Linked DNA regions of Tamandua tetradactyla. The protein of the gene in region 2 purifies or fractionates together with the protein of the main gene of each other region. This does not show direct contact. Links are inferred from orthologs where the notes say so. Each region holds a gene or a part of one and is shown on either strand. Other genes may lie near its edges. The genes, in order: EIF6 and BCCIP.

The links.
Region 1: the proteins of BCCIP (region 2) and EIF6 purify together in Homo sapiens (affinity purification with mass spectrometry; 3 studies listed by BioGRID and IntAct, counting the BioPlex papers as one, with this or other methods). This does not show direct contact. The link is inferred for Tamandua tetradactyla from reciprocal best matches to the Homo sapiens genes BCCIP and EIF6.

What each region holds. Positions count from the first base shown.
Region 1 is NC_135327.1:17,251,672-17,267,395, forward strand, and holds EIF6 (eukaryotic translation initiation factor 6), read left to right. Parts: upstream 1-7,576; 5' UTR 7,577-7,704; intron 7,705-7,714; exon of another isoform or gene 7,715-7,823; intron 7,824-7,950; 5' UTR 7,951-7,962; coding exon 7,963-8,069; intron 8,070-8,206; coding exon 8,207-8,292; intron 8,293-9,728; coding exon 9,729-9,904; intron 9,905-10,470; coding exon 10,471-10,647; intron 10,648-10,799; coding exon 10,800-10,981; intron 10,982-11,335; coding exon 11,336-11,345; 3' UTR 11,346-11,630; downstream 11,631-15,724. Other genes in the region: protein FAM83C, read left to right, coding at 2,163-2,330, 2,530-2,654, 3,873-5,313; MMP24 (matrix metalloproteinase-24), read right to left, coding at 15,456-15,724. UniProt on the Homo sapiens protein: Binds to the 60S ribosomal subunit and prevents its association with the 40S ribosomal subunit to form the 80S initiation complex in the cytoplasm. Behaves as a stimulatory translation initiation factor downstream insulin/growth factors.
Region 2 is NC_135339.1:88,370,370-88,385,839, reverse strand, and holds the start of BCCIP (BRCA2 and CDKN1A-interacting protein), read right to left. Parts: upstream 5,989-15,470; 5' UTR 5,988-5,988; coding exon 5,799-5,987; intron 1-5,798. UniProt on the Homo sapiens protein: During interphase, required for microtubule organizing and anchoring activities. During mitosis, required for the organization and stabilization of the spindle pole.

The DNA.
Region 1 (15,724 bases), on a different chromosome or scaffold from region 2:
GGGAAAGGGAACAGCCTAAGGCCACACAGCAATTTGGGGGCAGAATGGGGACTAGAACCTCTGGCCCCTACTAGATAATAAGCTTCTAGAGGGTGGGTGTGTATTTGGCCCTCAAGAAAATTTATGGATAGAACAGGGGATGGGCCTCAGGGACTCCGTGAAACCCCTGAAAATGCATGCAAAGCTAAGTCCTCTTGGCATCTCTCTTAGGAAGGAGTCCATGGCCTTCATGAACTTCTTAAAGAGCTTATGACCCCAAAACTAAGAACCCCAACATTAAAGAACATCTGAGCTGTCCCCAACTTACAGAGGAGGATGAGGCCCGAGAGAGGCTGGGCCTTGCCTAGGGAGGTCCAGTCAGTTGGTGAGATAGCGCTCTGGGCTCAGAAAGAGACGAGAGCCCTTGATATGGCCCTGTTTCCTGGCCCACACCCCCGTGGGCCCCTCATGCACAATATCTCCAGCTGGGGCTGGAGTGGGGAAGGGGGCTTTGGTGCAAGGGCCTTGGCCTGGGCTTGAGGGCTGAGCTTTTAGCTGTGCACTGGCAGGTAAACAGGAATGGAGGCTGCTGGGCTCAAAGAAGGGGATTAGGGGGCTCAGGAGAAAGAAAACAAGGAGGGCTAGAGGCTTGATGTCTTCAGGTAGGGATGGATGGTCAGTACCTGGGAAGGCTCCAGCCACAGACTCACATAGCTTTGCCGCTGGAGCCCAGACCTCTGTGACTCAGGAGAAGGGGAATGAATAAGATGACCCCTGGCAGGAGTTAAGGTAGGGTCTGGGATGCAGCCCAGGAGACTTCTGCTGTAGAAATTTGGAGCCAGGTTACCCGAGTCCCAGTGGTGTCTTTGCCAGAGCCTCCCGGTGCCCCAAGCAAGGGAGAGCCAGGCCTGATTGGCATCAGGAATGGGGTTATTAGTGAGGTGGTTGCTATTGCTGTCATCATCACCCCTACCCCTTTGATCTCTCCTGCCTGTCCTCGTTCCCCCAACCCCTGCCCAGGCCTGGGCTATGGATCTTGGGCATCTCCCATCGCCTTGCCTCCTCACCCCCATCTGGACCTCTCCATCCCTTGGTCAGGAGCCAGGCTTCTGAGCTCTGTCACTGACTCTTCAAGTGCCTTTGCAAAGCACTTCCCCTGCCTTGCAGTCCAATGTCCTCATTTGTTAAGAAGGCAACAGGAAAGGAACATTTACTGAGCTTCTGTTGTGTGTGGAGCATTTCCACGTTTAAATCTCATAACTCTGAGACATAGCTATTATTAGCTCCATTTCACAGATGAGGAAGTTGAGGCCCCCAGAGGTGAGCATCTTGCCCAAGGCCGTATCACCAGGAAGAGCAGAGTCCACATTCGAATCCAATTTTGTCTGCCTCCAGAGCCAGAGTGCTTTGCTCTGCATCTCCCAATTCTCAGCCCAACTGGGAGAAGAAATTCTGACAAGCAGATACATGCAATGGGAAGAAGTGGCAGTTGGGGTCTTGGGGATGCTGGAGGGTTTTCTTGACTTATCTGAAGCAGCCTGTTTATAGAAAGGACATACTAGTCCAAGCCCCTGACTGAACAGAAAACTTGGTTTCTCTTGTTGTGGGTGGAAGTGAGGGAATCCATGAGTGTAAGGTGTCATGCCAGACATCTGCAGCTTCACAGGGAAACCTGGGGGAGGGCTGCAAAGGGCTTTGAGGACCCCAGAAACAGTTCTGACCATTGAGGGGGAGGTCTCAGGCAGACAGACAATCCCTGGGCCAGAGCTAGGGCTAGAGCTAGCAGGGAGAATGCAAAGAGCTGGACTGGGAACCAGGGGGTCTGGCCTCTGCTTCTGACTCCTTCCCTACTCTGGACCTCAGTGTTTCCCATCTGTAGAGTGGGGCTTTAGACTAGTGCAGTTTATTCAGACATCCTTGAGAACTGATGACAGAGAAATACTCTGTCCCCAGAAAAGTGCACACAAAAACTTTCAAAGAACTTCTGGAGCTTTAAGACAGTCAAAACTCCCTGAGCCCAAGTTAACAACCCCTAGACTAGGTCATTGCTAAAGGCCCTTCCAGTTCACAGACTCTGACCTCCTGATTTTAGTTCAAGGTTATTTTCCTGGGCTCTCAGTCCCTGTCCTGCACTGGATGTGGGCAGTGCCCTGGGCAGGGCTGAGCTCCCTCCCCTCTCCCAGGTTGTGGCTGTGGCAATGGACATATTCACCGACATGGAGCTTCTGTGTGACCTCATGGAGGCCTCGAGCCGGCGCGGTGTCCCTGTCTACCTACTTCTGGCCCAGGAACACCTGAGGCACTTCCTGGAGATGTGCTACAAGATGGACCTCAATGGGGGGCACCTGCCGGTCAGTGAGGAGCAGGAGCAGGAACCAGGGATGGGGAGGTCAGAGACAGCAGAAGTCAGCTGGGTGGTCGGAGGGCACTGGGGTCATTGAGGGTAGGGTCTGGGTTCTCTTAGCTGTTTTGGGTCAGAGACCCCATGGGGCAGAGAAGGCTTGAGCCCAAATCTCTCAAGGTCCCAACCTCCCTCCCTCCTTGGTCCAGAACATGCGTGTGCGGAGCACATGTGGGGTCACCTACTGCAGCAAGGCTGGCCGCCGCTTCACTGGGAAGGCCCTGGAGAAATTTGTCATCATTGACTGTGAGCAGGTGGTGGCAGGCAGCTACAGGTGAGAAAACGGAATGAACAGAGGGGGTCTGGAGCAGTGTCATGGGTGGTGGGGGCATCTCAGATCTGGTCACCTTGAACTTTCCTTTATTTATCCATCCCTTCTAAAGTGTACTGTGCCCCTACAGTGTGCCAGGCATTGAACAGGGCTCAAAGAGATGGGGTGGGGAGTAAGACAGCCCAGGCTGTGCTCTCAAGGAGCACATTCTAATGAAAGGATTACTTTAATGCTCTTCGCATAGAAAATAACTATTTCACATCAGAACTACGAGGACTTCAGGGAACCTCACCTCTGGTCCCTATTACAGATGGGGAAATTGAAGCCCCAGGATGGGTAACCACTTGCCCAAGTGCATTCAGCAGAGCTAGGACTAGCTCAGAGTTAGAGCTCTGTCCCCTTCACCATAGAGCTTTCCTGGTCATTTTGATCCAATATTCTGGTATGCCTCTGGGGCCTGCCCTTGCCACCTGTTTCAGTTTGCTAATGCTGCCAGAATGCAATATACCAGAAATGGGTTGGCTTTTACAAAGGGGATTTATTAAGTTATAGGTTTACAGTTCTAAGGCCATAAAAACGTCCACACTAAGATGTCCAGAAAAAGATACCTTGACTCAAGAAAGACCGATGTCTGTCATATGGGAATGCACCTGGCTGGCATCTGCTGGTCCTTGTTCCTGGTTCTGTTGCTTCCAGCTTCTGATTCCAGTGGGTTCCTCTCTAAGTGTCTGTGCACCTTCACTTAGCTTCTCCAGGGCAAAACTCTGGGTTCTGGTTTGCTTAGCATCTCATGGGAAGGCACGTGGTGATGTCTGCTGGGCTCTGCATCTCCAAACATCCATGTCTAAGTATCTGATCTCTGTCAGTGCTCAGAGCATCTCCAGATGTTTGCATCCATGTCAGCTCTGGGCTTTCTCCAAAATGTTTCCCCTTATAAAGGATTCCAGTAAACTAATCAAGACTCACCTTGAATGGGTGGAGTCACACCTCCATCTAATTGAAAGGCTACACCCACATCTGGGTGTGTCACATCTCCATGGAAACAATCCAATCAAAAGGTCACACCCACAATTGGGTGTGTCTAATCAAAGGGTGGCACCTGCCAGTCAGGTTCCACCCTACAATATTGAGTCAGGAGTAGAGGAACATGGCTTTTCTGGGGTACATATCAGTTTCAAACCAGCACACCACCTGGCCCTGATCCTGACCTTCTGCCCCCAGCTTCACGTGGCTTTGCAGCCAGGCCCACACTAGCATGGTGCTACAGCTGAGGGGCCGCATCGTAGAAGACTTTGATCGGGAGTTCCGCTGTCTGTATGCTGAGTCACGGCCCGTGGAAGGCTTCTGCAGTGGGGAGGATCCACTCTCTCCCTGGGCACCACGCCCTCCCCCTGTCACCCTGGCCTTCGGGCCTGGCATCCCCAGTCCCACGTCCTCTTTGCCCTCTAGCACCAGCCTCAGCAGCATCAAACGCTCACCTCTCACGGGCCACTCCTCCTACCTTGCGCTACCAGGAGTTACTGGCTGCAATGACATGGGTCTGGCGTCCTCGTCCCTAAACCCTGCCCACCACGAGGACAGTGGCCAGCCCTCCCAGCAACGTCAGTTGTCAGACCCTAATCACAGCTCCCCACGTGGGCCCTATAAGGCCAACCTGGGCAAGCTCGGGGCGTCTCCCTGGTCCCAGTCCTCTCCTGCCCTCAACCATAATAGTGCCAGTCCCCTCATCCTGGCAGTGGGGTCACCTCTACTTCCCCACTCACACCCTCACCTCCCCATCTCACGAGGGGGCACAGTCCTGCCCCGGCTCCCAGAGAATGGGCTCCTGGCTTCCCAGGAGCCTAGCCCCCCAAGAGGTCGGTGGATACCTGGTACAGGCCTGGAGATGATGGAGGAGAGAAGGACATCTCTGAGTCAGAGCCATGGCCAGCAGGATCTCTTGGCCGCCCTCCCCACAGCTCAAGAAGCAGGAGGCCCTGACTCTGAGGTTTCCGCCAACTCAGGCTCCCATTGGCCTGGTGAGCAGGCTCCAGAAGACAGGAAGATGTCCCCAAGCCAGAACTACAGCCAGCTGGACCTCCTGTCCCGGGCCCAGGGTGCCAGGGGCACCCCTGAGATAGCCTCCTCCAGAACTCGTGATCAGGCCTCAGAGGACAAGAAGCTGTCCCTAAGCCATAGCCACAGCCATTTGGACCTCCTGGTGCCATACCCAAAGGCTCTGGGCTCTAGAGTGCCCCCTGAGGCCAGCTCCCCAGCCAGGCCTGGCAAGCAGGGCCTGGATGAGCAGCAGCAGATCCTGGGCCACAGCCAGCTGGACCTTATTGCAAAGTCTGGCCCATTCTGGCGTGAGGGGCTTGGGCCCAACGGTCTCCCTGGACCAAGACCCACTCACAAGGCTGGGGTGGGGTCTGGGGATGAGAAGCAGATGACTCTGGGCCACAGCAAGCTGGACCTCATCACCAAGTATCACCAATTTCAGGGAACCAGGCAGAGGACAGAGCCTGGCCTTCCTGGGAGTCCCACAGGTGGCCACCACAACAGTGGTAGCAAAGACGTGTATGGGGGTGAGAAACGCCTGACCCTGGGCCACAGCAAACTGGACCTTATCACCAAGTACAACAAGTCCAAGTTTAAGCTGCTCCGAAGCCGCTTTGAGTCCTAGCCCCACTCTCAGTGAGACAGGTCCCTCCTTCATCCGCTGAGATTCTGAACTCTGGGGTGGGAGCTCTGGGTAGCGGCTACATGAGGAGGGCAGGGATTCTAGGAGTGCAGATCAGACCTCCCTGGGCTCAGAATGTGTGCTCATTTACACACACACACACACACACACATGGGGAAATGGAACCCACAGTTATTGAGCATCTATCATTTGCTGCTGTGTTGGGCTCTTGACAACAGTTACCTTTTCTCATCAGTCATCCTCATAACATCCTACAAGGTGGGCCCCTGTACATATAATAATGATAGGCCAATAGGATTATCCTCCCTATTTTATACCTGTGGAAGGTGAAGACCAGAGTTTGTATGGCTTGCTTGGAATGAGCTCCAAGTAAATGGCAGAGGAGGGTCCAAACTTGTGCCTCAGCGACTGTAAAGATTATGTGTTTTATACAAACATGGCACACAATACTCACAATTCATATGTCCATGCACACAAAATACATCACAGAGAGGTCCCAAGTACCTATATAACACACACAACACACCGATAGGATACGTACGCACAAACAGCACACCCAGAGACACATGCAGTCAATAAACACACGCAGATCAGTGTGATAAACCAAAACACTCAGAAGTCTAGTTGTAGGTACAGTAAATTTCACTTGGTTAAATGAATGGCTACTTGAAACACGTGTGTTGAGTGCACACTATAGAGCCCCTTAGGATTGACAGACCATAGCATGCACATGACCCACCCCCCACCCCCCCACCCCCCCCCGTAACTTCTTGAATCTAAGCTATAGTCCCAGTCCTGTGCTGGGCATGCCATAGGGCCAATAAATGAATCAGACTTAGACCCTGGGAGATAAGGATTGAATGCACAAACCACTGGAGAACAGAGCAGAGCTGTATCTAATTAAAGGCTAATTGGTGTCAAAGGATAGTAGAGATTTAAGGGTGTAGAGAGGATGTTAAGGAAGGTTTCTTAGAGGAGGTGGCATTTGAGCCAGGCCTTGAAAAATGGGGAGGATTTGGCAGACGGAGAGAGTAGGAAGGATTTCTGGTAGAGGAAACCAGGTAAGGAGAGGCTCAAGGCTAGGTCTGATGAGGGGGTCTGAGATAAACTGAAGAAGATAGAGTGAAGGAATACACACACACATCCCTGTGCACACATATACACATGCAACATACACACATCATCATCATCTTGCTGTGTGTCTCCTAAAGCATAGGCTGTGATGGGCTATGGCCCTCTTCCTGAGCTTACCCACTGCCTGAGACAGGCCACATAATACAAATCAATAAATACAGACATGGCTATGACCCAGCACCAGCCTGGCTTATCCTGAGGAATGTGGAGTTATTGTACTGCATACTGGGGGCAGGGGGAGGGAACAATTCAGGCCAGTTTGGGAGAACTCCCTGGAGGCAAGTGGATGGCTGCAGGAGGGCTAGGTGGAGGTAAGGGGCTCCAAGCCCCCTCTCCCTCTCTGTGACTGAGAGACCTTGGGACTTTTGCAGATTCTGTCAAGTTCTGCAAAATTCTTCTGTTCAGGACGGCAGTCCAGGACACCAGATCACCACATCCTCAAGCCCCATAAGAGTGGTCCTTAGCTACCACCATCTATTTTGAGGATCAAAGGTGGCTGCGAATGAATGATAAGTACTTATGCCTCAAGTAGGAGGGGCATATGGTTAAGCCCTTGAGCTCCCAAACCCTTGCCCACCCTGGATCCCTCTCCCTCCAATTTCCTCCTAATCTCCTTCATCCATCTTTCCCTTCTCTTCAGCCCGGATTCCTCCTTCTCCAGCCTTTTTTTGTGCCGGTCTCGCCCTTCCCTACAGAACTCCTCTCTCTAGGGTCCCCATTCACCCCAGACTTCAGTAATAAATCTCATTCCTCAGCCCCTCACGGTTTCCTGGGCTCCAGACCCGGCCATCCTCCTACTATCTGCACATTTATCCGCCGCCTCCCACTCAGTATGGCAGAGTTGGCCTCCTCGCCTTCCCCCAGACCTGCTCTTCCTCCTCCTGCCTTATTTCAGTAAAACAGCACCATCAGCAACCTATTTTCTTCTACGAGCCATCCCCGACTCCTCCTCGGCCTCTTGCCTGAGATCCGACCAGCAGCAGGTCTGAGGTAGGCAGTCCCTCCTAAAAAGCACCTGAACGAAGGAGGACATGCAAACAAGCTGGGGGCGGGGCCAGGAGGAGTCACTACTGACAATTTGCAACCATAGAGGCCTCCCGGAGGCCGAAGCTAGAGTGGCCGCATGCGTGGCAGGGCGCGTCCGGCTTTCCCGAGAGTCTTCCAGCTCCGGGACGGAAGCGGAAACCTATTTCGGTAGAAGAAGGGATTATCGCCGCGTGTGGAGGGTACGGTTAGTCGGTGAGTTTCCGCGAGGGGAGGCCGAGAGGGTCAACTCTGGGCATTCCGGTTTGCGATGGGTGGGGACTGGAAGACTCAGAGCCGGAGAGTCTGGACGGGTTCAGGGGACGGGGCCGGAGGTTTGAGAGGCCGAGCTTGGGGTGTTCTGAGGCCGAGAGGGGCGGGGTCGCAGCGGGTCTGAGGGGCCGGGGTCGGGGTGTCAGGGCCAGGGGAAGATCGGCCGCCTCTCAATTCCCGATCTCTCAGGTTTCAGGCTTCATGGCGGTCCGAGCGTCGTTCGAGAACAACTGTGAGATCGGCTGCTTTGCCAAACTTACCAACACTTACTGCCTGGTGGCCATCGGAGGTTCAGAGAACTTCTACAGGTGCCGCGAGAACCCTGCGCCCCGAGAGTAGTGGGTGGGTGGGTGGTGGGGAGGGATGCTGGGAGCCAGGGACTCCTTCGGAGGAGGGAGGACATCAGCCCGTCAGCCCCGTGACCACCGAGTCCATGTCCCCACAGTGTGTTCGAGGGCGAGCTCGCCGATACGATCCCCGTGGTGCACGCATCAATCGCCGGCTGTCGTATCATCGGGCGCATGTGTGTGGGTAAGGCCGGTGGAGGACGCCAAGGAAGTGGAGCTTCCCAGCATCTCTAATTATAGCCCTGGAGTGGACCCAGAGTGACCTAGGGATTTCCAGTCTTTCTTCGGTTATCTCTGGGAACTTCAGAATCTCTAGATACTCAAGGCTGGGAAGGACCCAGTCTGAGCGCCCACAGTTATCAGGGCAACCTCTTTCAAAGGCTTCTGGATGGTAGTTTTCTGATAAGAGTTTTCACTTACATGCCTGATCTCATTCTTTCTTCCCAAAGACCCTGGGAGGTAGGAGAAATTATTGGCCTAATTGGATTGATAAAGAACTGAGACTCCCACAGACTCCCACAGTCTTAAGTGACTCACCAAATTCCACACCTAGTGGAATCTTTTTTCTCTTCCTTCTGACTCTGGCTAAGTTGCTACTTCTTTACAAGCATCCATTTCCTCCTCGAATAAAATGAAAAACTGAGATTCAGGGTCATGCTGACCAGTTATCCTTTGAGATCTTAAATTCCTGTAGGACATTTCTGAGTGGCCTCTTTCCCTGCTGCCTACCTCTTAGCAATGTTGACTCTGACCATTGGTTCTTTCTCTGAGTTGAATCTGTCTCCCTTTACTGCTACCCCTTGTTTCTAGCTCTGCCCACTGAGATCAACAGCAGTGTATTCCCCCCCCCCCCTTTTTTTTTTAAACCTTAAGCCTGGTCACTCTGGCCTCTGAGTATTTTCTTATTCAGGCAAAATACCCTGATCCCTAACCATGACTTTAGGTCTTGAAGCAAATTCTGATGTACAGGGGAATTTATCCTGGCCCTGAGTGTTTTTTAGGCTTCAGAAGTTCAGAATTGTGGCCTTCTAGATATAGGCAGAGATTTAGCCATTGTCGTTACCACATAATTATTTGCTGCATAGTACATTTTATTTAAGTTTACCACAATGTATTTATTATCTGTTCTGTTGACAATAGGCATTTTGGTAGTTTTAAATTTTGGTTATTATGAATGGTACTACTATGTTTTTTAATGAACATATGTATATATTTTATTTGGTATATCTATCCCTAGGGGTCAAATTTATGGGTGGCAGGGTATGTGAATCTTCAACCATAGTGGATGATATCAGATAATTATTTTAAGTGACCAGTTTACACTCCATCACATTGTATTATAATTTAAAGTAGCAAAATATACAAAAGACTCCTTTCTGCTAGTTCTTCTCCCTCTTGGTTAATGATAGGGAATGGACAAGGTGGGTTGGGACATGCTCCTCAGCCATTGCTTGCCTGCCCACTGGGACTTCTGGTCTCCCTGAGGGTTATATGGATCAGTGAATTGGAGGACAAGGGTCTGGGCCTTAAAGCTTTCCTAGAGAAGTTGATTTGGCTCAGTGGACATCTTGTGTATTTATTGTCCATCCTTGTCCCATCCCCCAATTTGGGTCCCTCCAGGGAACAGACATGGTCTCCTGGTGCCCAACAATACCACTGACCAGGAGCTACAGCACATTCGCAACTGCCTCCCAGACTCAGTGCAGATCCGGCGGGTAGAGGAGCGACTCTCGGCCCTGGGCAATGTCACCACCTGCAACGACTATGTGGCCTTGGTCCACCCAGATCTGGACAGGGTGAGGCAGCTAACTTGGCCAGAGAATCACGGGTCATCCTACTTAGTAGTTAGCCACTGTTCTTGCTTATCAGGTGGGAATTAGGGGCATCTCTTATGGCTTCTCTTTGTATCTGGGCTCATGTTAGCTTACTACTAGGCACTCGTAGTATTATTAACAATGTACAGAGGCCTTCACTGGTGCCATCACTGTCAGAAAGAAGGTGGGGAGGATAGTAACTCTTTAGAACTGGGGACCTAGAAGAGTGACCTCATCCTGTTCTACAGGTCAGGATAGGTGATTGACAGTTGTTGAATCCTTGGGTGTGGGGTAGAGGTAACAGGGTGGCTGTGGAGACGTGTCACTGGCTGTTCGGAGTATACATGGCTATTAGAGGTGCCATAGCTGACCTAGACTCTTCTTTAAGCTGTACCCTTTCCTTTCTCTGGGTGATGCTTCAAACACAGCTAAATAGCAGAGGAATGAGAGATTCAGGGTGCTAAACCCTGGATCATTCTGGGCTTGGAGCACCCCTGGGTCTTTGGCCTATAAGTTCTGGGCCCTGACTATAGTACCTTTACTGACAGGAGACAGAAGAAATCCTGGCTGATGTGCTCAAGGTGGAAGTCTTCAGGCAGACAGTGGCTGACCAGGTGCTAGTAGGAAGCTACTCTGTCTTCAGCAATCAGGGAGGCCTGGTGCATCCTAAAACTTCAATTGAAGATCAGGATGAGCTGTCCTCTCTCCTTCAGGTTCCCCTTGTGGTAAGCATTCCAGTTCTCTGACCCTGTCTCCTGCTGAGGCAGATTCCTTTGCCCATTGGCCATTACCTGCCACATTTTGGGATTGGGCTTTGGGTCGGAGAGGAGAGACTTGGCTGTTGGTGCCATGACCCATTTGAGCCCATCTCTTGCAGGCAGGCACTGTGAACCGAGGCAGCGAGGTGATTGCTGCTGGGATGGTGGTGAATGACTGGTGTGCCTTCTGTGGCCTGGACACAACCAGCACAGAGCTGTCAGTGGTGGAGAGCGTCTTCAAACTGAATGAAGCCCAGCCTAGCACCATTGCCACCAGCATGCGCGATTCCCTCATTGACAGGTACCCGGGGCCTCTCTACTCTTCTGCCAGAGTGGGGGTTTTCACTTTGCTTTCTGAGGTAGGGGAAGGGCTTGTCCTCGGAGGCCCTAGCTTATAACAGATAATAGTTTGAATAAATTATTGAGTGAATTGACCCATTTGGGTGGGGAGGGTGTTACTTTCAGTCTTTGAGCATTGATAGTTCTAGACTGGAAGAGTGACTCAGGATGCATTCAAGCCTGGAATCTGGATGGGCCAGTTGTGCTCCCAGTGTAGCTCTTGATCTAGGGGTAAGGGTGGAGTCAAGTACCTTGAGAATAGAGGGTGGGGTGTGCCCCCTGAAGCAGCTACTGACAGTGTTCCTTCTCTCTTCAGCCTCACCTGAGTCACCTGTGCTGCTCTATGGGCTCCTGCCTCTGGACTTTCGCTCCCTCTCCAGGCCCCACCCAGTTTGTTACCAGATGCTGGCATGGAGATGGCAGAGAGCTCACTGGGAGGAACTGCGTGGCTGGGTGCCCAGTGTTTCTTGACCTGTGCCTGTCTCCTGAGTTTATACTTACTGTAAAAACCTGCCATATTGTGCTGGCTGTCAGGTCCTGTGGCTCTTGGCTGAGGGCTCTGCTGTCTTGTGCCACCCATTAAAGGGCAGCTGCCTCTGGCTATTCTGAAATGTGTTGTTTGGGAGCCTCAGTCTGAGTCTGTTGTTCCAGGGTCCTGAGAGGGTGAAGTAGGATGTACACATATACCCCTCTGTTCCACTTCTCCACCCCCACGACCTGGAGCCTCACCCCAGGGCAAGAGGAAGCAGCACTTTGCCACTGTAGTTATCGCATTTTCCACCCAACTGCAACCTTGGCTTTCTCGGCTTCAGTGGAAGAGAATCTGCGGCACTTTTCCCCTGGGCCGTTTTGAGGATCCTCTGCAGGCTCTGAGAACCAGGCTACGGGGCAGCCTTGTCCTCTCCACCTAAGTTGGAAGGGAGTTGCCGGCCTCGCAGTCAGGTCTCAGCGACCAGGGGGGCGGGCCTCGGGGAGCTGGGGCGGGATTGGCCGGTTGCTGGCAGTCGGGGCTGTGACGCGTAGCTGTGGGTGAGGACCGTGCGCGCGACGTCATGACGCCCACTCCTCGGCCAACCCGCGAGAGAGCGGAGCCCGGCGCTTCCCGGAGAGGTCCCCGTGAACCGCAGTCCCGACTGCTTGAGGTGAGGGCGGGTCCCCCGAGACGCTGCGGCCGAGCCCAGACCTGCAGGCTCTCTCCTCCCGCAGACCATGGGGGCGCTGCTGAGCGGCGGCCAGGGCCGCCCGGAGCCAGTGCAGCCCCAGCCCACGGCTCCGGAGGACCCTAGGCGGCCCGAGCCCGAGCCCAGCCCGTGGGGCCCTCTGGATGACGTTCGCTTCCTCATCACCTGCACGTCCTGGTACTGACTCGGTACCTCCGGAGTATGCAGCCCGCACACCCGCCCGCTCGCCCAGCCGCGGCCTCCTCATCTGGCTTTCGTCTCTTCCCACGTCCTTGCGTCTGTCTTACCCCCAACCCCATCCCCGGCATCTTGGAAAGGACAGAATTCGGAGGGCCGACTTCCCAGCCTCGCCAGGGTCATCGTCTCATCTCTGGCCATTCTCCCAACCCCGAAAGTGTTATTTTTTCCAGCCTGAACCCAAACCTAGGTGAGACCTCCGTCCTCACCCCATCCCTCTCTCCGGTTTTCTGGATCCTGGGGCAGACCAATTTCAAGTCTGCAGTTCCTGCTGCCAATGGCTGAAGATGGAACCTCTACTCCCTGAATCAGGCCAAGACTTCTGCTAAGAACCCATGGCTGCTGACCTCACCTTCATCCCGTAATTGCTGAGAACTGGGTCAGTGCCTGTGTTTCATGGTACCATGTGCTGTGACCTAAGAGAAGACCTTTCCAGGATTCCGGTGATGCTGTACTCCCAGGACCCCGGTAACAGTGGGCCCCCAAGGCTAGCCTTTTGGAGACAGAGAACATTTCTGATGCTTGTCTGGCAGGGATGTGTGAGGCAGCTCCAGTCCACCCCAAAGCACATCATACCCCACTGCTCCTAGAAGCATCCTGAAGCCAACATCAGAACTTCACCCTTGTCTCCACACTCCAGGAAAATGAAATGTTCTGTATTTTTGTTTTATTTAGAAATGATTTAAAAAACATTATACAAAGGCTGATCAGTTTAAAATGTGACTGACACTGAAATGCTGTGATGTCCCCCAGGCTGAGGGGAAGCTGGGCTCTGAGGCCTCATGTGCTTTGCCCCTCTGTCTGCCCTGTCCTGGGGTGATGGACAAACAGATGACCACAAGGCAGGAGAGCCAGAGATTGGAAGCCTCCAGGCTGAGCCCTTCCTGGACCTGGCCTTGCATCCCTCACATCTGCAGCCTGGGCTGCCTGCCTCCATCTCCTGCTCTTTCTCAGCTAGCCTATATGGTGCCAGGAGCCAACAGGGAGGAGCCTGGGAGGCCAAGAGCCTTTAAGAAGTGAGAGCACCAACCTGAGGAGTGGAGAGGGAATGGGGGAGGTGGGCAGAAGTAGAAGGAGACAGATAGAGGAGACACCTCTGATCTCATCTTGGACCCTAGAGGGGTCCACAGGTGAGGACCCGAGGCCCAGGCAGCTCACTGGATGGCCTGGGCAAGTAACAGAACCTCTCTGCACTGTATCCAAGGGAAGGGCATGATGAAAGCCACCCTCAGCCTCCCAGGGCCTATGCACATTTCATGGGGATGGATGGATGTGAGCTAATAAAGTGCTTTGCAAAATATAAAACACTGTACAAACCTATGAATTGCTAATATCTCTGCAGTCGTTCCCCGCTGCCCCAGGGAGCCCGCCCTTGGCCAAAATGAGAACAAACAGAAGAATGATGACAAGGGACACAGTGGACCCACATAGCTCCTCTGGGACAAGAAAGATTTTGCTTGAGACAGCTCCCAAGACAGCAGGAGTCTCTGTGCTACAGGGTAAGCGGGCCCACAGCCAGAGGCCATGGGGCGGGGCAAGGCCCATGTAGGTTCAGAGGGCAAGGGAAGCATCTGAGACCCTGCCAGCACCCTGAGGGCTGCCTGTCACCACCTCTGGCTTTGACAGAGAGCAGCAGGCATTGCTGAACCCACTGGTTTTATCTAGGGTGCCTCAGTGACAAGCAGGGCTGCCTCTACTGTGTTGGAGTGAGGCAAGATGAGCCCTGGAAATTCCTGCCAGAGACAGTGAAGGGTGAGCCCAAGAAGGGTCAAAAAGAGGCTCTTAGGCTTGGGTCTGCTACCATCTGGGGGTGCCCTTTTCCTAAGAGCTGTGCAAGAGAAGGGGTGCAGTGAGCTGGTCAGCAAGGACCAACCTCATGGTATAAACACTGCTTCTAGGCTAAGAGACTGAGTTGGCTTCAAGGTAGCTGAGAATTTCAGAAGGCTGCCTTGGGCCCTGGAGCCATCCTTGCCTCACCTAACTAGTCCAGCTAAGCTCCCCCCAGCCTATAAATGACAAGCTGGAGCAGGGCTGGGGCCAGAGAGTGAGAAAGGGTTGATGGGGAAAGGGACAGGGGTGATGGCAGGAGTGGAGGGCAGTCACAAGCTCAAATCAGCCTCCAGATATGGGGTTGGCCCCTGCCCAGCACTTCAACCTGATGAGCAGGGCCCAGCTCATGGGGTGTCTGGGCTCTAGAGTAGCCTTAGCAGCACCTTGGTCCTTATCGCCTAGGGGAGAGCCAGACACATTGGCCTCATCACCAAGATATTCACCTCTAATTCACCTAAAGCCTCAAGCAGCCTTTGCAGAATGGGACTTTAAACAGTAGTGACAGGACGTTTAAATATTCTTGATGTGACAGCTGGGTCCTCATCAGATTCATCTGGGCCACTGCCCTGCGTGCAGCATGACCCTAAATCCTGGGTCTCAGGGGAGATCCCGGGCCTGTGGAGCAGGTTTCCTGAGGGATCTGCTATCTGCCAGCAGGGGAAACCCAGGTTTGAGGCCCACCATATTGGCAGCAGGGGTCCTGTAGCCTTGGAGGACGTGGGAGGGAGTGGGAGGACATCTGACCAGCAGGTGTTGGCAAAAGGGGGCCAGGACTGGTGGCATCTCCCAGGTGGGGTTGGGAGAGCTGGTGCTGGCTTTCCACAGAAGGTGTAGGCCCCAGCCAGGAATGGAGCTGTGGTGCCTCACGGGCAGGCCCAAGGACTCAGTGACCTCAGAAGTGCCTCCTGGTATGGTCCCTGTCTCCTGATGGGGCCTGGGCTATTCCCTTAGGTAGGGAATAATTTGTCCAGGACAGAGGGCTGGCAATTGGATGCCAGACGCCCACCCTGGGGCAGAGCCCTGTCACTCCCTGCCCCACGCTCAGCCTAGGCTAGTACACCCACCACTTCAGCTGCACGACCCCTGACCTTGGGCCCTGTTGACCCAGGTGGGCAGTGGCCGGAGCTGCCCCTCAGACCCTGGTAAGGATCTGGCCAGACCGAGTGGACAGAGAGTGCCCTGGGCTGCTCACACCCACTCCTGGACTGGCCGCTTATAGTAGGTGACAGGCTGAGGGCCTGCCTTGTTCTTGAACTGGAAGATGGTGTAGACCAGCACCAGGATGCAGAGGGACAGGATGCAGGGGATGACCACGGCCACGGCGTTCACAGAGCCAGGCACGTCGTTGATGGTCACCATGATGTCCACATCGTCCTGGGGCAGCCGCCGCTCCTTACGCCGCTCCACCTCCTTCTGGTTGCATCCCATCCAGTCACGTAAGATGTTGCGTGGATAAC
Region 2 (15,470 bases):
AAATGTGCTGTCTAGCCTACGCTCTCTTGAATAAAAATCTCAATGGCTGCTGCATTTTCCATCTTCTGCTATATGAATAGCAAGGGAAAGAATATCAAGTATTGTGAATATAATAGAGAAGAGAAGAGATGAAATATGAGGGAACTGGGTTCCTATAGAATTCCAGGCCTGGGGATCCAGAGGGCCAGCTGCTTTTTGGCTCTTGAGGTCTACAAAATCCCTGTTATCCTTTTCACAAATTCCCCTTTCTGCTGAAGCTATCTGCATTTATATTAAGCATAAACAGGAGTTCTACCTATTTACCCACAAGAACCTTAACTAAACAAACCTATTCTTTTTCTTCTTCTCATCTTTTCACACTCCTCCCTGAAGTCTTTATAAGCACTTTCTAAAATCACGTTCTTTAAGATAGAATTTAACAAACAAGTATAACTACTGAATCATTACATTAATATTTCTTTTTGTTTCCAGGGTCTTAGAACAATGAGAATAACTAAAGTTGTGGAACCGTAACCCATACCATACTTTGAAATTTGTTCTATAACAATTTGTTAAAATGTACTTCAAAATGTATTGCTTTTTTGTATATATTTCACAATAAAAAATGATAAAAAAAATTATGTTCTTTAAGGCTTTAAGTAGCCCTGTTCATTTTCTTATTTACTTATATACCCTCTTATTTTAAAAGCGACCTGTAGTAGTTTTTGAATTTCCAAAATAATTCACATGGATTTCTACAGCAGGGAATGAAGTGTGGATGCATGATCCTCAAAAAATGAAGACCACTTTCAAATAAGCAAAGGAGTAAAAATCCACTAAATGTCAGCACAGGAAACTGCAGTAGATACAGTAGGTTTCTTCAGTCAAAAATGTAATGCTTTCAGTGGAAGCAAATTACAATGTTACTGCTGACTATAGACTCTAGCTTGCAATGATTGCATTTTTTCCTGTATATCATCCCATTTTCAACAACTTACAATGTTGACATTCATTTGTTCTCCTTCATGCAAAACATTCTTAAATTTGCACATTTAATCACCATCATTGTCCACTCTAGGCATACCTAAATTATACTGTTTCAGTCTTTATCTTCTATCTTTCCTTCTGGTGACGTATGGGCTGCCAGCCCTTCTCCCTCAACCAGTCACATTCAGCTTCACTCAGTGTACTTATATTATTGTGCTAGTCTCTGCACTTTTATCAAAAGTAAATCAGCCATATTCATGTGGGTGTCTCTGAACCCTATTTGGTTCTACTGATTTATGAGTATATCCCTTCATCAATACCATATTGTTTTATTATAGCCTTAAAGTATTTTTTAAAATTTGGTACCAGAGTCCTCCAACTTTGTTCTTTCTCAAAATTGTTTTGGCTACTCTAGATCCTTTATCTGTCCATACAAATTTTATAAGCTTGTCTGTATCACCAAAAAATGCTGCTGGAAATTTAATTGGAATTGTGTCAAATCTATATTTGGGAAGAAGTGACAGTTAGTTATATTGGGTCTTCTAATACATGAACATGGCATGTCTTAAAAAAAAAGTCATGCTTGTCAGTGGGGACAACCAATCAATAGGCTAAGCCCTCAATTTTGGGGTTTGCACCTATGAAACATTCCTACAAAGGAGAAGCTAAGCCTACTTATAATTATGCCTAAGAGTCAATCCCAGAGAATCTTTCCTGTTGCTTAGATGTAGCCTCTCTTTCTAAGTTAACTTGGCAGGTGAACTCATTGCCCTCTCCCTTACATGGTACATGACTCCCAGAGGTGTAAATCTCCCTGGCAATGTGGGACAGAACTCCTGGGACTTGCCAGGACCCAACACTACGGGATTGAGAAAGCCTTCTTGACCAAAGGGGAGAGAGAGAAATGAGACAAAATAAAGTTTGTGTGGCTGAGATTTCAGAGTCAAGAGGTTATCCTGGAGGTTATTCTTATGCATTGCGCTGGTTTGAAGGGACGTATGTCCCCTAGAAAAGCCATGTTTTAATCTAAATCCCATTTTGTAAAGGCAGAAAAATCCCTCTATTCAATACTGTGAATTTGAAACTGTGATCGGATCATCTTCCTGGAGATGTGATTAAATCAAGAGTGGTTGTTAAACTTGAATGGCGATTTGGAGAGAGCAGAGAATGCTGCAGCACTATGAAGCAGAGTCCACAAGCCAGTGACCTTTGGAGACAACAGAGGAAAACGCCTCCCGGGGAGCTTCATGAAACTGGAAGCCAGGGGAGAAAGCTAGCAGATGACACTGTGTTCGCCATGTGCGCTTCCAGCAGAGAGAGAAGCCCTGAAAGTGGTCGCCATGTGCCTTCTTCTCACTTGAGAGAGAAACCCTGAACTTCATCGGCCTTCTTGAACCAAGGAATCCTTCCCTGGCTGGATGCCTTTGATTGGACATTTCTATAGACTTGTTTTAATTGGTGCATTTTCTCAGCCTTAGAACTGTAAACTAGCAACTTATTAAATTCCCCTTTTTAAAAGCCATTCTGTTTCCGGTATATAGCTTTCCGGCAGCTAGTAAACTAGAACATGCATTATATAGATATCCCTTTTCAGTTTATGGTGTATTGGTGTGGCTGGAGGGAAGTAAGTGAAACTGCTGAGCTATGTTCCAATGGCCTTGATTCTTGAAGGCAATTACATAACAATATAGCTTTTAAAATGTGACCATGTGATTGTGAAAACTTTGTGTCTTATGCTCTTTTTATGCAGGGTATGGTCAGATGAGTAAAAAAATAAGGATAAAAAGTAAATAAATAATAGGAGGGAAGGGGTAAAAAAAAATGGGCAGACTGAAATACTGAGAGGGATAAGGGGTATGGGATGTATGAGTTTTTTCCAATTTTTCTTTTTATTTCTCTTTCTGGAGTGATGTATATGGTCTAAAAATGATGGTAGCAATGAATACAAAACTTTGTGGTGATACTGTGATCTACCGATTACATACCATATATGGACTCTATGTGTGTAAAGATTTCTCAACAGACACATTTTTTTAAAAATGTAATGTTTGCACAGATCTCAGACCTACCTGTAAAACGCAAAACTAGAAAGCTATACAACATCTAGAATATAACAAGGAGAAAATCTACTGCTTTTGTGCTTGGCAGTGATTTCTTAAAAACAAACGCAAAAGCACAATCCATGAAATAAAGAATCAATAAGTTGGACTTGATTAAAATTTTAAATTCTGTTCTGCAAAAGACACTACTAAAAGAAGAAAAAGACAACTAATGGACTGGGAGAAAATATCTGGAAAACACCTATTTGACAAAGAACTCTTACTACTACTTTCAAGAAGAAAACAACCCAATAAAAAATGGGCAAAGGAGGTAAGCAGACAGCTCACCAAAGATATACAGATGACAAATAAATATACGAAAAGATGTTCAACATCATGTATCATAAGATAATTGCAAATTAAAACAACAATGAGATAGTACTATATACCTGTTAAAGACTGGCTAAAATCCAAAACTCTGACTATATCAACTGCTGGCAAGGCTGTGGAGCAAGAGAAGTCTCATTCATTACTGGTGCAAATACAAAATGGCACAGCCCTTTGGAAGACAGTTTGGCATTTCTTATAAGGCTAAACATAAGCTTACCATATGACCCAGCAGTTGTAATCCTAGGCGTTTACCCAAATGAGTTGAAAACTTGTATCTATACAGAAACCTGCACACAAATGTTTATAGTAACTTTATTCATAATTGCCAAAAATTGGAAATAACCAAGATATCTGACAACAGGTGAATGGATAAGCAAACTTTCATACATCCATACGATGGAATATTATTTAGTGAAAAAAAGAAAAGACATGGAAGAACCTTAAATGCATTATGTTCAGTGAAAGAAGCCAGACTGAAAAGGCTACATACAATATGATTCCAACTATATGACATTCTGGCAAAGTAGAAAAGATAAAACTAGAGAGACAGTAAAAAGATCAGTGGTTGCCAAGGCTTTAGCAACAGGGCCAGGAGATAGGGCATTTTTAGGGCAGTGAAACTATTCTGCATTATATCCTAATGGTGGATACATGCTATGTCAAAACCCATAAAACTTTATAACACAGAGAGTGAACTATAATGTAAACTGTGGACTTTAGTTACTAATAATGTACTAGTATTGGTTCATCAATTGTAACAAATATAACACACTGATGAAGGATATTAACAACGGAAAATTCACACGGAGAAGGGAGGAAAAATGCTCTAAAAAATGCTCTAAAAATAAAGGTTTTTTTTAAAGTAATGCATGCCAATGATGAAATTACAAAATACTTTTGTCTTATTACCTACCCACCTCTACACACACTCTCCAGAGTATCCAAATGTCCATATACAAATGCTGTTGTAACCCAAAATCAGCAAAAGAACCAAAGTTCTGAGTGAAAAATGGTGAAACCACATTCATGACAAGGGGCCAAAGTAAAGAGCTGATTTGTACAGAAAGTTCTAGTCACCACAGTCTCAACCCCTAATCTAGAATCCACACTTTACATCCTCCTCCTCCATGCTCATTCCTTCTTAGCCCTTTCCTCCCCTGTACTTTGCATATCTCAGAATCTCCAAGTGAAAAATAATTACAACAGCTGTCAAGTATTCATCACCTACCAGGCACAATCGAAATGCTTCACATATCATCTCATTCATTTCTTACCATCATCCTGTCAGATAAGTTATTCCATTTTATTTATAAGGGAATAGACTCAGAAAGGATAATTTGGAAGAGATGTCATTCATTTAAAAAATATTTATTGAGTGACTACTATGTGCCAAGCACTGTATAGGTACTGAAGATACTGAAGTGAATAAGCGAGAAATCCTTGCCCTCCTAGACCTTAGTTTAGCACAGGAGACAGATAAATAAGCACATTAACACATAAATATATAATTGCAAGAAATGTTAGATCCTCAAGGACGAATAAAGCAGGATAAGAGGTAAGGGAAACAAATTATAGATAGGTGGTCAAGGAAGTCCTCTCTGGGGTCTTGATGTAGGATGAGGAAAAGGGAATAATTAAAGTTAACTCCAAAGCCTGGGGTTGGAACAACTGGTCAACTGGAGAGAGGGGAGGGTGGCATGAATTACATGTCCATTCAGGTCCATGTGTTACCTATTAGACATTCCCAAGGGTCAACCAGGCCTGCTCTCCATCCTAATTATTCGTTCAACAAATACTGACTTGGCACTATGATAGGAGTTATTTTGAAGAAATCTTTGAGAACACACAATCAAGGAATTTGACCTGGACTTGGGGAGGTCAGTTGCCCTGGGCAAGAAGAAAACACAGCTTAATGAGATGTGAACAGAGAAGGAAAACTGGGATGAAGGCACAGCATTTTAAAAGGCTCTGTGGTAGAACAAAGCAGGTAGCCTTTAAGAAATTTAGAGGCCAATGTTGCTGAAGCATACAAAGCGAGTGAGAGACAGGTGCTGGAGTGGTAAGTAGAATACAAACTCTGCAGGCCCTTGTTTGCCTTTTGAGGGCTGGGAACTTCAGCCTGAAAACTACAGAAGTCAGCGAAGACTGTCGTAGTGGCGGATTATTCTCTTGGGGTAGAGGGCGGACCCGCGCAGGGAGGACTGAAAATAATTACTGCGCCCGCAGCGGGAGAATAGACCCAAGTAGGACCTCAATGAGACTTTATCACCTCCAGATTCTGCTTACAGACCCCCAGGGATGAGGGGACTACTCCAAGCAGCTCACTCCATTTTCACACAGCTGTGAGTGCCAGAAAGTTTCTTCCCAGATGTCAACCAAACTGAGCTCACGTGTGCTTCTCACCTCGTCAACAACCTCGTCATGTTCATCGTCTTCTTCGTCACTGTCTTCATCCTCTTCCTCTTCTTCCTCATCCTCGACTTCCTCTTTCTCTTTTTCCTCGTCCCGCTGGGCCGGGGCCCCAGACGGTCGCGAGACCCCACATCCCAGCGCACGCCTCTTAGCCCTGGACGCCATGTTGTCGCCCTGCATACTGCGCCTGCGCGGCCGCCCCGCCTGACCTCTAGGACCGACCCACAAAGCCGAGGGGGTGGAAGACTAAGAAGAACCTCGACAGTGAGTCGACATCAACCCCAGGACGCTGCTTGGTCCACGGCCTTGACCTCGCAGAATCGAATATAGTTTGATATTTTATGTCAGCATTTTCCAACTCCATCCTGTCCCATCTTTCCCTATAAAGCTCTCCCGCCCCTTCGCGCAGTGGTACGACCCACTCTGGAGCGCCCCCCCACCTCGGACTTGGATTCACAACGCATGCGCGAGCTCTCAGCTGCGTGACCCTGGGTATTAGGTTCTGGCTGCTCCGGGGCCTTCCCCGGCTCGGAGCAGTGGCAATTCAGGAGACGTGTTGATGGGGGTGACCTCCCCTCTGTCATTGCCCCTGCAGCCTCAGCAGCCTCCTCCTTGGGACTGGGAGATGCACGCACCCTGACTGGGCACGATCCCATCTCTTAGCCTATTCGGGGCTTCCTGCCCGCAAGGTAGGTATCGCTGCCCACTTGTACCGACCAGGACATGGGGCCCGCAGGCCTGGAGGGACCCGCCCGTGGTCACTAGCGAGTAAGCGACAAAATCGGGATTGGCCTCTCCACACAGCTGTTTGCTGGAGGTGGGCCCTGGCCTGGGTGCGCTCTTGTGGAAGGTCATGGAATCCGAGCCTCGGGTGTCTGCCCCCCACAGCTCTGGCGCAGCCGATTGGTGATTGAATCGGATTCGAATCCCTGCCCCTCACTAACCCTCTTTCGGTGCATTTCCTTGACCTGACAGTTTTTTTAAAGCAGGAATCGCAACCATAAATGCTTCAGGCCGAGTGGGGTAATCTAAATTACAGCCCTGAGCCAGATTTGAGAGAATGGAGTGGAGAAGACTGCAGCAGGGTCTAGGGTATCTCCCCATTGGACGGTGGCAGCTGCTGCTCACCTGCAACCAGCTGCTGCCATATGGACCCAGTCCTGTCAGATAGTTCCATTTTCGGAGAAGCTGGGTTTCTGAATTTTTACAGGAGCTATTTTGATTTTTTTTTTTTTTTTTTTTCATGGGCAGGCACCGGGAAACGAACCCGGGTCTCTGGCATGGCAAGCAAGAACTCTGCCTGCTGAACCACGATGATCTACCCTATCTTGGTTTTTAAAGCTGAGCCAAATAAAGTCCATTTACCAATCAGGTTTATCCCACAGGCTACCAGTTTGCAGCCCATTTTAAAATAGTTCTTTAGAAAACACATCAGCTTTCTGAGAAAGAAGTCAATGGCTCTCCATTTTTTTCTCTGTAAAATGAGGAGAACGGGTTAGATCTGTGTGATTATTAAAATGGAATGCTGAGATAGAGAGGTTGGCATGGCTGAGAGATTGAATCAAAAACTTTGTGACCTTTTCTCAGTAATTATTCATCAGCAGGAGATAAAGTTAGAATATCTTAAAGGTCCCCATTAGCTCAGAATTCCCATGATTGTGTTCTCCAAAGTTCCATCTTTCCTGAGACTCTCTTGTCTTGGCCACAACATGGATGTTAGTGTACTTTACCCAGATTTAAGTGTTGGTATCATGCCCCCCAGAACTAAGAGAATAAATCCCTGCCCCTTTAAGTCACTCAGTTTGTGGGAATTTGGCATGGCAGCCCCAGGAAACTAACATACCCCTTCTCAGCAAAGCTTTTTCCCAAAATCCAAAGTGGGATAACTTAGCTTGTTCAAGCTGAAGGCATAAGTCTGCTGGAGATGGATCACGTCCATATGGAAATTCCTTTCTTCCTGCACTTCTCTGTGACCAAGTTGAAAGAACACTCTCTCCTCTAAAGAGTTCCTGCTACCTGTGTTGCAGTAAAAACGGGAAAGAAGCAAGGATCAGAAGGAAACTAGCAGGGTCTGCTCAGGCTTTCAGATGTGGAGGGTCATAGGTGAGCCAAGTTATCCCACTTTGGACTTTGGGAGAAAGCTTTGCTGAGAAGGGGTATGTTAGTTTCCTGGGGCTGCCATGACAAATTCCCACAAACTAGGTGACTTAAAACAGCAGAGGTTTATTCTCTCAGTTCTGGAGGCATGATACTAAAATCAAGATGTTAGCAGAGGCATGCTCCCTCTAAAGGCTTTAGAGAAGAATCCTTCCTTCCCTCTTCGTAGCTTCTGGTGGTTCCTGGCAATTCTTGGCATTCCTTGGGTTGTAGCTTCATCATTCCCATCTCTGCCTCTATTGTCACATGGCCTCTTTCCCTGTATTTCTGTGTCCAAATCTCTCTTCTTTTTTCTCTTGTAAGTCATCAGCCATTGAATTGAGAGTGCCCCCCACCCCCAAACCCAGGATGATTTCATCTCGAAATCCTTAATTAATTATATCTGCAAAGACTATTTTCCAAATAAGGTCACATTCTAAGGTTTTGGTTGGGCATATATTTTGGTGGCACTATTCAGTCTACCACCAGGAGTTTGTTCCAGTTTTTGTAAAAATCCCTTGCCTACCCTAAATCCTAGAGTTTTCTAGACACTGGACAATAAAAGCATCTCAGCTGGCTTCACACATTTTCAACCTATTCAGCATGCATCTGATACTGTAATGAACTCATTTACTATACTATCTGCCCCCAATTTCTTGAAAAGAAATTAGTCTCCTCATGTCTAGTCCGGTGCCTTTTCCATTCCTCTGAGCTGTAAGACAGAATGTTTTTTGAGCATCCATAGCTGTTAGAAATAAGATGACTCTATAATTTATTGTCTAAATCAAGATATTTTTGAGAGAGAAAGTGGGTACTGTTAACAATTAAACCATATGTTAACTGATGTAAACAACAGATGTAAACTGAGACTGTCCCAGGCAAACTAGGATACATGGTCACCCCAACTATAAGGTAAAAAGTCTAGCATACCCTCACCAACCCTGCCCCAAGATAGAAGAATGAGGGAAGATCCCTTTTAAAGTTAAATCACAAGGACCCAGTGTGGAGGGAAATTAATAAGAAAAAGTAATTAAGATGTAATCCCAAGCGACAAGCATCATAGTTGATTGAAAATGCCATGCTAACTCGGTGCTCATTCAAATGGATGATTGTCCACGTCCTCTCAGAAGTCTTTGGATGGAGTAACTGGCCTGAGCTGATCATACAGAACTGCACAGAAACCCCAGAGAACCAGGTCCTAGTACTAGCTCTGCCTCGGCTACCTGTGTCCATGCGGGTCCCCTTGTCTCTGTTAACCTCAGTTTCCCCTGTTAGAAAAATAAGAGTACTGGCTGTGCCGGGAACACACAGAAGTAATTTTTCTTAGGAGACAGCAGTCCTCTGACAGCCCCAAAAATCAGTTCACTTTCGTGAGAGTTACAACCGATTTCGTTGTGGTATTGCACATTCTAGGTTGACTGTGCTTTCTCTGTGTGCCCAAGAATCAGAGATGGCGTGGGTAAGAAGTCACAATGAGGAGGCTTCTGTGTTCCTCTTCTTAATTGTTGCCCGCTTTGGAGATGGTGGGAATGTGAGTTTCTTGAGTATGAAAGACACTGTACTGAGCTCTAAAAATACTTTCTGCCCCCATTGGCCAGTCCTCCCCCTTGGCTATTTCCTTCACTGAGGGTAGTCCTCTTGTCTAGTCCCTTGGCCTGGGCTTTGAAGGGCCTTCTGGGACCCTCTGTGTCTCTTTGAGGAGGTGTCTGTTGACCTTTCTCTGAGCTCTTTGGACCTGGCCCTGAGCTGAACGTGCCCAGTAGTTCAGAGAATAGTCCCAATTATGGAAAGAAAAATCTATTCTCAAAGCATTTTAAACTTCAAAATTTAAATCACTAAGAAGAGTAGTAATGTGACTAGCAGTGATGTGCTTATCAATTGATTTCTTTCTCAGTGCGCCTGATAATATGGGTCTCGGGTACAGCAAAGATGCTCAATAATGGTTCTTCCTCATTTTCCCTCAGAGAGGTTGTCAACAACAGCAAAGAAGCCACGAGGGTAGTAATTCAATTTTTATTTTCCAATGCTAGAGCACATCTAATGGAATCTTTTAGCAGTTATTATGAGCTTCTTCACATTCACATCATTTTCATTACCTAAGAGAGCCATAGATTAGAACCCAGAAGAAACGTTTTCCCAGTTTACAGTCGGTAGGCTGATTTTGCTTTCATGGGTTTGCACTATTCAACTAAGTAAGCACTTTGTGTTGTGGTAATACTTGATATCTTCACGCCTGTGTGTTTTCCCGAACACTTGTATCCAAGCATGTGAGAGGCAGCATAGCGTCAGGGTTGAGGGCGCAGACTTTGGAGGCGAACTGCCTGGGTGAATGAACCCAGCTCTGCCACTTCTTAGTTCTGAGACTTTGGCTGACTTTAATTCTTGATATACCTCAGTGTTCTCATCCATAAAGTGGGATAAACCTCATAGACTCAATGAGATTTTTGAAAAGCACTCAGAACTGTGTGTCACATGTGGTAAGTACTGGGTAAGCATCACTGTTATTATCACCTCCTTTCAGTCACTTAACAGCCCTGTGGCTTGATAGAGCAGAAAACAAGATTACCCCATGAGTAAGTAATGATGCTGGGACCTTTGGTCCTGTATTTGTGCTGTGGCATCACGCTTCCCCAGTAGAGAATGAGGAAGAGAAAAGGGCAAGCAGAAATGAGAAAAGGGGAGAAGAAATAAATCCGTCAACTTGAAGCTAGTAACTTTAGTAAGGTAAATCAAATGTCTTCCTCTGAGTGCCAGCAGCCCACAAATCCTGCCCTGCCTGCCTTTCACCCTTCCCCCTCACTTCCCCCTCAAATATTCCAGCTGTTCTAGACAATTCTCTTCTTCAGAGCTCCTGCAGTGTGCTACTTCCACTCAGTCTTCATTTAAATGTAATTTCTTCCAGGAAGATTTTCTTAGTCTAAGTCTTGGTATTAGGATATGGGTTTGGCAACTCTTAGCAGAGATCAAGATTAATGAGATCCAAATTAATAAGTGCCAAAATAGGACAGCATTTAATTTTTCTTTGATGTGAAGGCCCTGGCTGGTGAGATGTACTTTTGAGAGAATGACCCTTGGTATTTGAAAACATTGCTAGACCATCCCTTGGAAAAGTGTCTGGGGTTCTGTATCCCAGAGCCCAGGCCCATGGCAGGGACCTGGTAAGGGTGAGAAAACATGTGTGCCCACAGGGCTGCCTGCTGCCAACAGTGTGATGTTTCAGCTTTTTCATCCCCAGAAGGAATTGTTCTTTAGCAGAAATTCCAAGTTTTACCTGCCACTCAATGTCATGCCAGATACTTGCAGACCCAAAACTGAAAGGTTTTTCAGTCAGCATTTAGCCAGAGAAACAGCCAGAGGTAATGTACAGTAAGAGAGTGATTCCAGGGAACTGGCTTACACGACTGTAGGGGGGCTGGCTAGGCAAGCCTGAAATATGTTGGACAAGCCAGCAGGAAGGGCTGCTGCCCACAGATAGAATTTCTTCCCCATCAGGAAAGCCTCAGTTTTGCTCTTAAGGCCTTTCAAGGGATTGAATCAGGCTCACCTAGAATGTCTATGGTAATATCCCATTCTTGGTCAACTAACTGATTAACCACTTCTACAAAATACCTCCCAGCAAACTCTTAGATTATAGTTGTGGATAACTGGAAACTATAGCCTAGCCAAGCTGACACCTAAAACTGACCATGGCAGAAGGGTTGGGTCACAATTTCTGTAAGAAACACATTTTGAGTAACCTCAGGAAATGATAGAAATGATACTGTCCATTTCTCCAAGTCTCCAATCTCTAGCTAACAGCTCAATAACTGCAATAATTAGAACTTGATTTCATAATCATTAGTTGTTCACCCAGGTTTGGTTGCTTAAAAAGCAGTTCATTATGTGCTTGTACAAAAGAGTATATAAGTTCAAGGTATGGGGGAAAACTAATGCATGCTATGGGCTATGCTTAATAGGAAAACATCGACAGTACTGCAGCAGTAACAGGGGTACATAATGGGGGGAGAGTTTTGGATTTTCTGTTGGGTGAGGGCATGTTTACTGGTTATCTTTCCCTTGGGAACAATGAAATCATCTAAAATTGAGAGTGTTGATGGACTGTTGGCTTTGGACATTGTACATGAGGCCCAGTAAATGAAGGTGTCTGTTCTAGTTTGCTAGCTGCCGGAATGCAACACACCAGAGACGGATTGGCTTTTAATAAAAGGGAATTTATTTTGTTGGTTCTTCAGAGGAAAGGCAGCTAACTTTTCACTGAGGTTCTTTCTTATGTGGAAGGCACAAGATGGTCTCTGCTGGTCTTCTCTCCAGGCCCCTGGGTTCCAACAACTTTCCCCGGGGTGACTTCTTTCTGCATCTCCAAAGGCCTGGGCTGAGCTGCTAGTGCTGAGATGAGGAATGCTGAGCTGCTTAGCAGTGCTACGTTGCAATCTCCCATTTAAGCACCAGCCAATTAAGTCAAACGTCACTCATTGCAGCAGACACGCCTCCTAGCTGACTGCAGATGTAATTGGCAACAGATGAGGTTCACGCACCACTGGCTTATGTCCGCAGCAGCAAGACTAGGTATGCTCACCTGGCCAAGTTGACAACTGAATCTAACTAACACAGTGTCTGAGTAGATTGGCTAACAATGGTGTGTACATGTAATTGAATATTGTGCTGCTGCAAAAAGAAATGAAGTTGTGAAGCACGCAACAATGTGAATGAACCTGTGGGACATTTGTGGAGGCAAACTAAGCCAGAAACAAAAGAGTAAATGTTGTATGATCTAATTTATAAAACACTTATAAGAAAACTGGGGCCTAGAGGATAAACTCTTATAACAGTCACATTTAGTCCAGAGAGGTAACTGTTATTTCTGGATTTTGAGAAGCTGCTTTATATATGTCTAAGCTGGTATTTAGAGATAAGAACGAAGCCAGTAAGATTGGGATTAAGGTAATTCAAAATACAGGGCTAAGGGAGACATTGTCTGTATTTTAGAACTTCACCTACTCTTTGAGACCAAAGGAAGAAAGGTTTATTTTGTCCAGAACCTAAATTTTTTGTAGCACATAATCTAACTCAACACATCTGGATAGATCATTTAAACAATCCAAACGCAGGAAGCACAGAGTAAGAATGAGCACCTTTAATCCTGTACCTTAATCCTGATACCTTAATGTAATGCCTAGATACATCCCAGAGTGTATTAAGCAGATAATCAGAAACTATTGGCAAAGTCCCTTGAGAGATAGGAGAAAAATTATGGACCTATTAAACTTTACGACTAGGAAAACCCAGGATACTGTGTCAAACATTAAGGACACCCAAATCAATAGGCCAAGCCCTTGATCTTGAGGCTTACTGTTGTGAAGCTTATGTATGTAGTGGAGAAGCTTAGCCTACCTATAGATATTCCTAAAAGGACCTCTTTTAAACTCATGTGTGGCCTCGCTCTCTCTAAGCCCAACTCTATCACCCTACCCCCTACATACGACATAACATCCAGAGGTGAAAATCTCCCTGGCGGCATGGGAGATGACTCCCAGGGATGAACCTGGCCCTGACTCTGTGGGATCAACAATGCCATCCTGACCAAAAGGGGGGAAAGAAGTGTAACAAATAAGGTTATCAGTGGCTGAGAGAGTTCAAATAGAGTTGAGAGACTACTCTGGAGGTCACTCTTACACAAGCTTCAGTTAGACATTGCTACCTATCATAACTTGCCAAACCACAACCAAAGCCATTCCTGCCAATCCTAAAGAATACCTAGGGCATTGTATAAGATTCTACAAAGGCTCCATGCACTAGGGAAACTTTCTAGAAACCTACAACCTCCTGATGGGTCCCTGAACCAGGTAAGTCCTGAAATGCAGAGGGGCCAGCCTCTCCAGAACATCACCTAGTTCCATCCCCCTATCCCATATTATTGACAGCCCCTTCCAACATGAAAAAGTTAGAATGGGCATAATCCAAATACCCCTAAAGAGTGGGTGAAAGATGAAAGTTGATGGTGCAGTTATGCAGAGAAGGTAGGGTTTAGCAAACGAGTATGATTGCTGAGTCATTATGTTATTTCTTTTAGTCTCCAGTACCATAGAGCAACTAGAAGTAAAAACCTAAAGTTTTGGAATTGTAACCCATACCAAACTCTGAAATCTTTTCTACAACTAATTCTTGCGATGTATTTTGAATGTTTTTGCTTTTTTGAATATGTTATCACAAAAAAGAAAAAAAAAGGAGTGTAATAGAGGTGATAGGATTTAATAAATGAGTATGACTGCTGAATCATTATATTGATATTTCTTTTGGTCTCCAGTGTCTTGGAGCAGCTAGAAGAAAAAGCAAAGAACTGTGGAACTGTAACCCATACCAAACTTTAAAATCTACTCTATAACTACTTAAAATGTACTTGGAAATGTATTGCTTTTTTGTATATGTTATATTTCACAACTGAAAAAAAAGTTTTTAAAAAAGTAAGTTCATTTTGGGCCAGATTTTCCAAAGATGTCCCATGGATATATGTAATACTCCAGAAATATCTTCATATTAATTTATAAGTAATGGTTTCCTAAGTTAAATTTCTGCTCCAAATAATAAAGTCCATTTGAGTATTATCAACTCTTGTGTAGTATTTATTTGGAGGGTCTACTACTATTTACAGATGATAATCTATGCTTCTTGTAGAGTTTATTCTGTAGTTCCTTACCAAAACTAATTTTGAGGCCTTTCGTAGTGGTTACAATGCACTATTCTTCCCTTTATATAAGAAGAACAGAATGTTCACTGTAAAAAATTGGGAGATAATAAAGAAGGAAATAATCATTCTAACTTGCCACCATGAAATAATCAAATGGTCGCTATTAATATTTTGGTGCATAGATACGCACATACTATGCAGTTCTGGGTTTTTCTTTTTTGCATTTAATGTTATTTTATAATCCCTTTTCTATGTAATTAACTTATTTATGAATACAAAGGATTTCAAAAAACTGTGGTATGATTTATTTAACTATTTTCCCATTGGTCCCAGTTATTTGCAATTGTAAATAATGCCAAGAGAAACATTTTTATGTTAACTTTTTGTACACATTTATGAGTATTGCTTTAACATTCATTCTTAGACGTGAACTTACAAAGAGAAAGGGTATGAATGGCATAAGGCTTTTGATATATATTGACAAATCATTTTCCAAGTTGTTAGAAATTTTTTGGAAAATTATCTGAAGATATTTGACAACAGTAATAAGCTTCTTTGGGAAATAGAAGCGTCAATATAATTAGTTCCTTCAGTATTAATGTGCTGCTTAGTATATTTATCTTGAAATAGAAATATTTATCTCCTTAAAATGTAGGTTACCATTTCTCTATTTGTTATCCATACGATCCAGAGTTTGCAGCATTTCTCTTCTGAGAGCCATAGTTGTTGGGCGTAGTACATGTGGCTTTAACTGGTAACTCTACTCCACCTTTCCAAGAGATATCAAGTTCCAGCAGGCTCTCCCTTGGCCTTATCAGTGGGTCTTCAGAAGGAACAAGCTT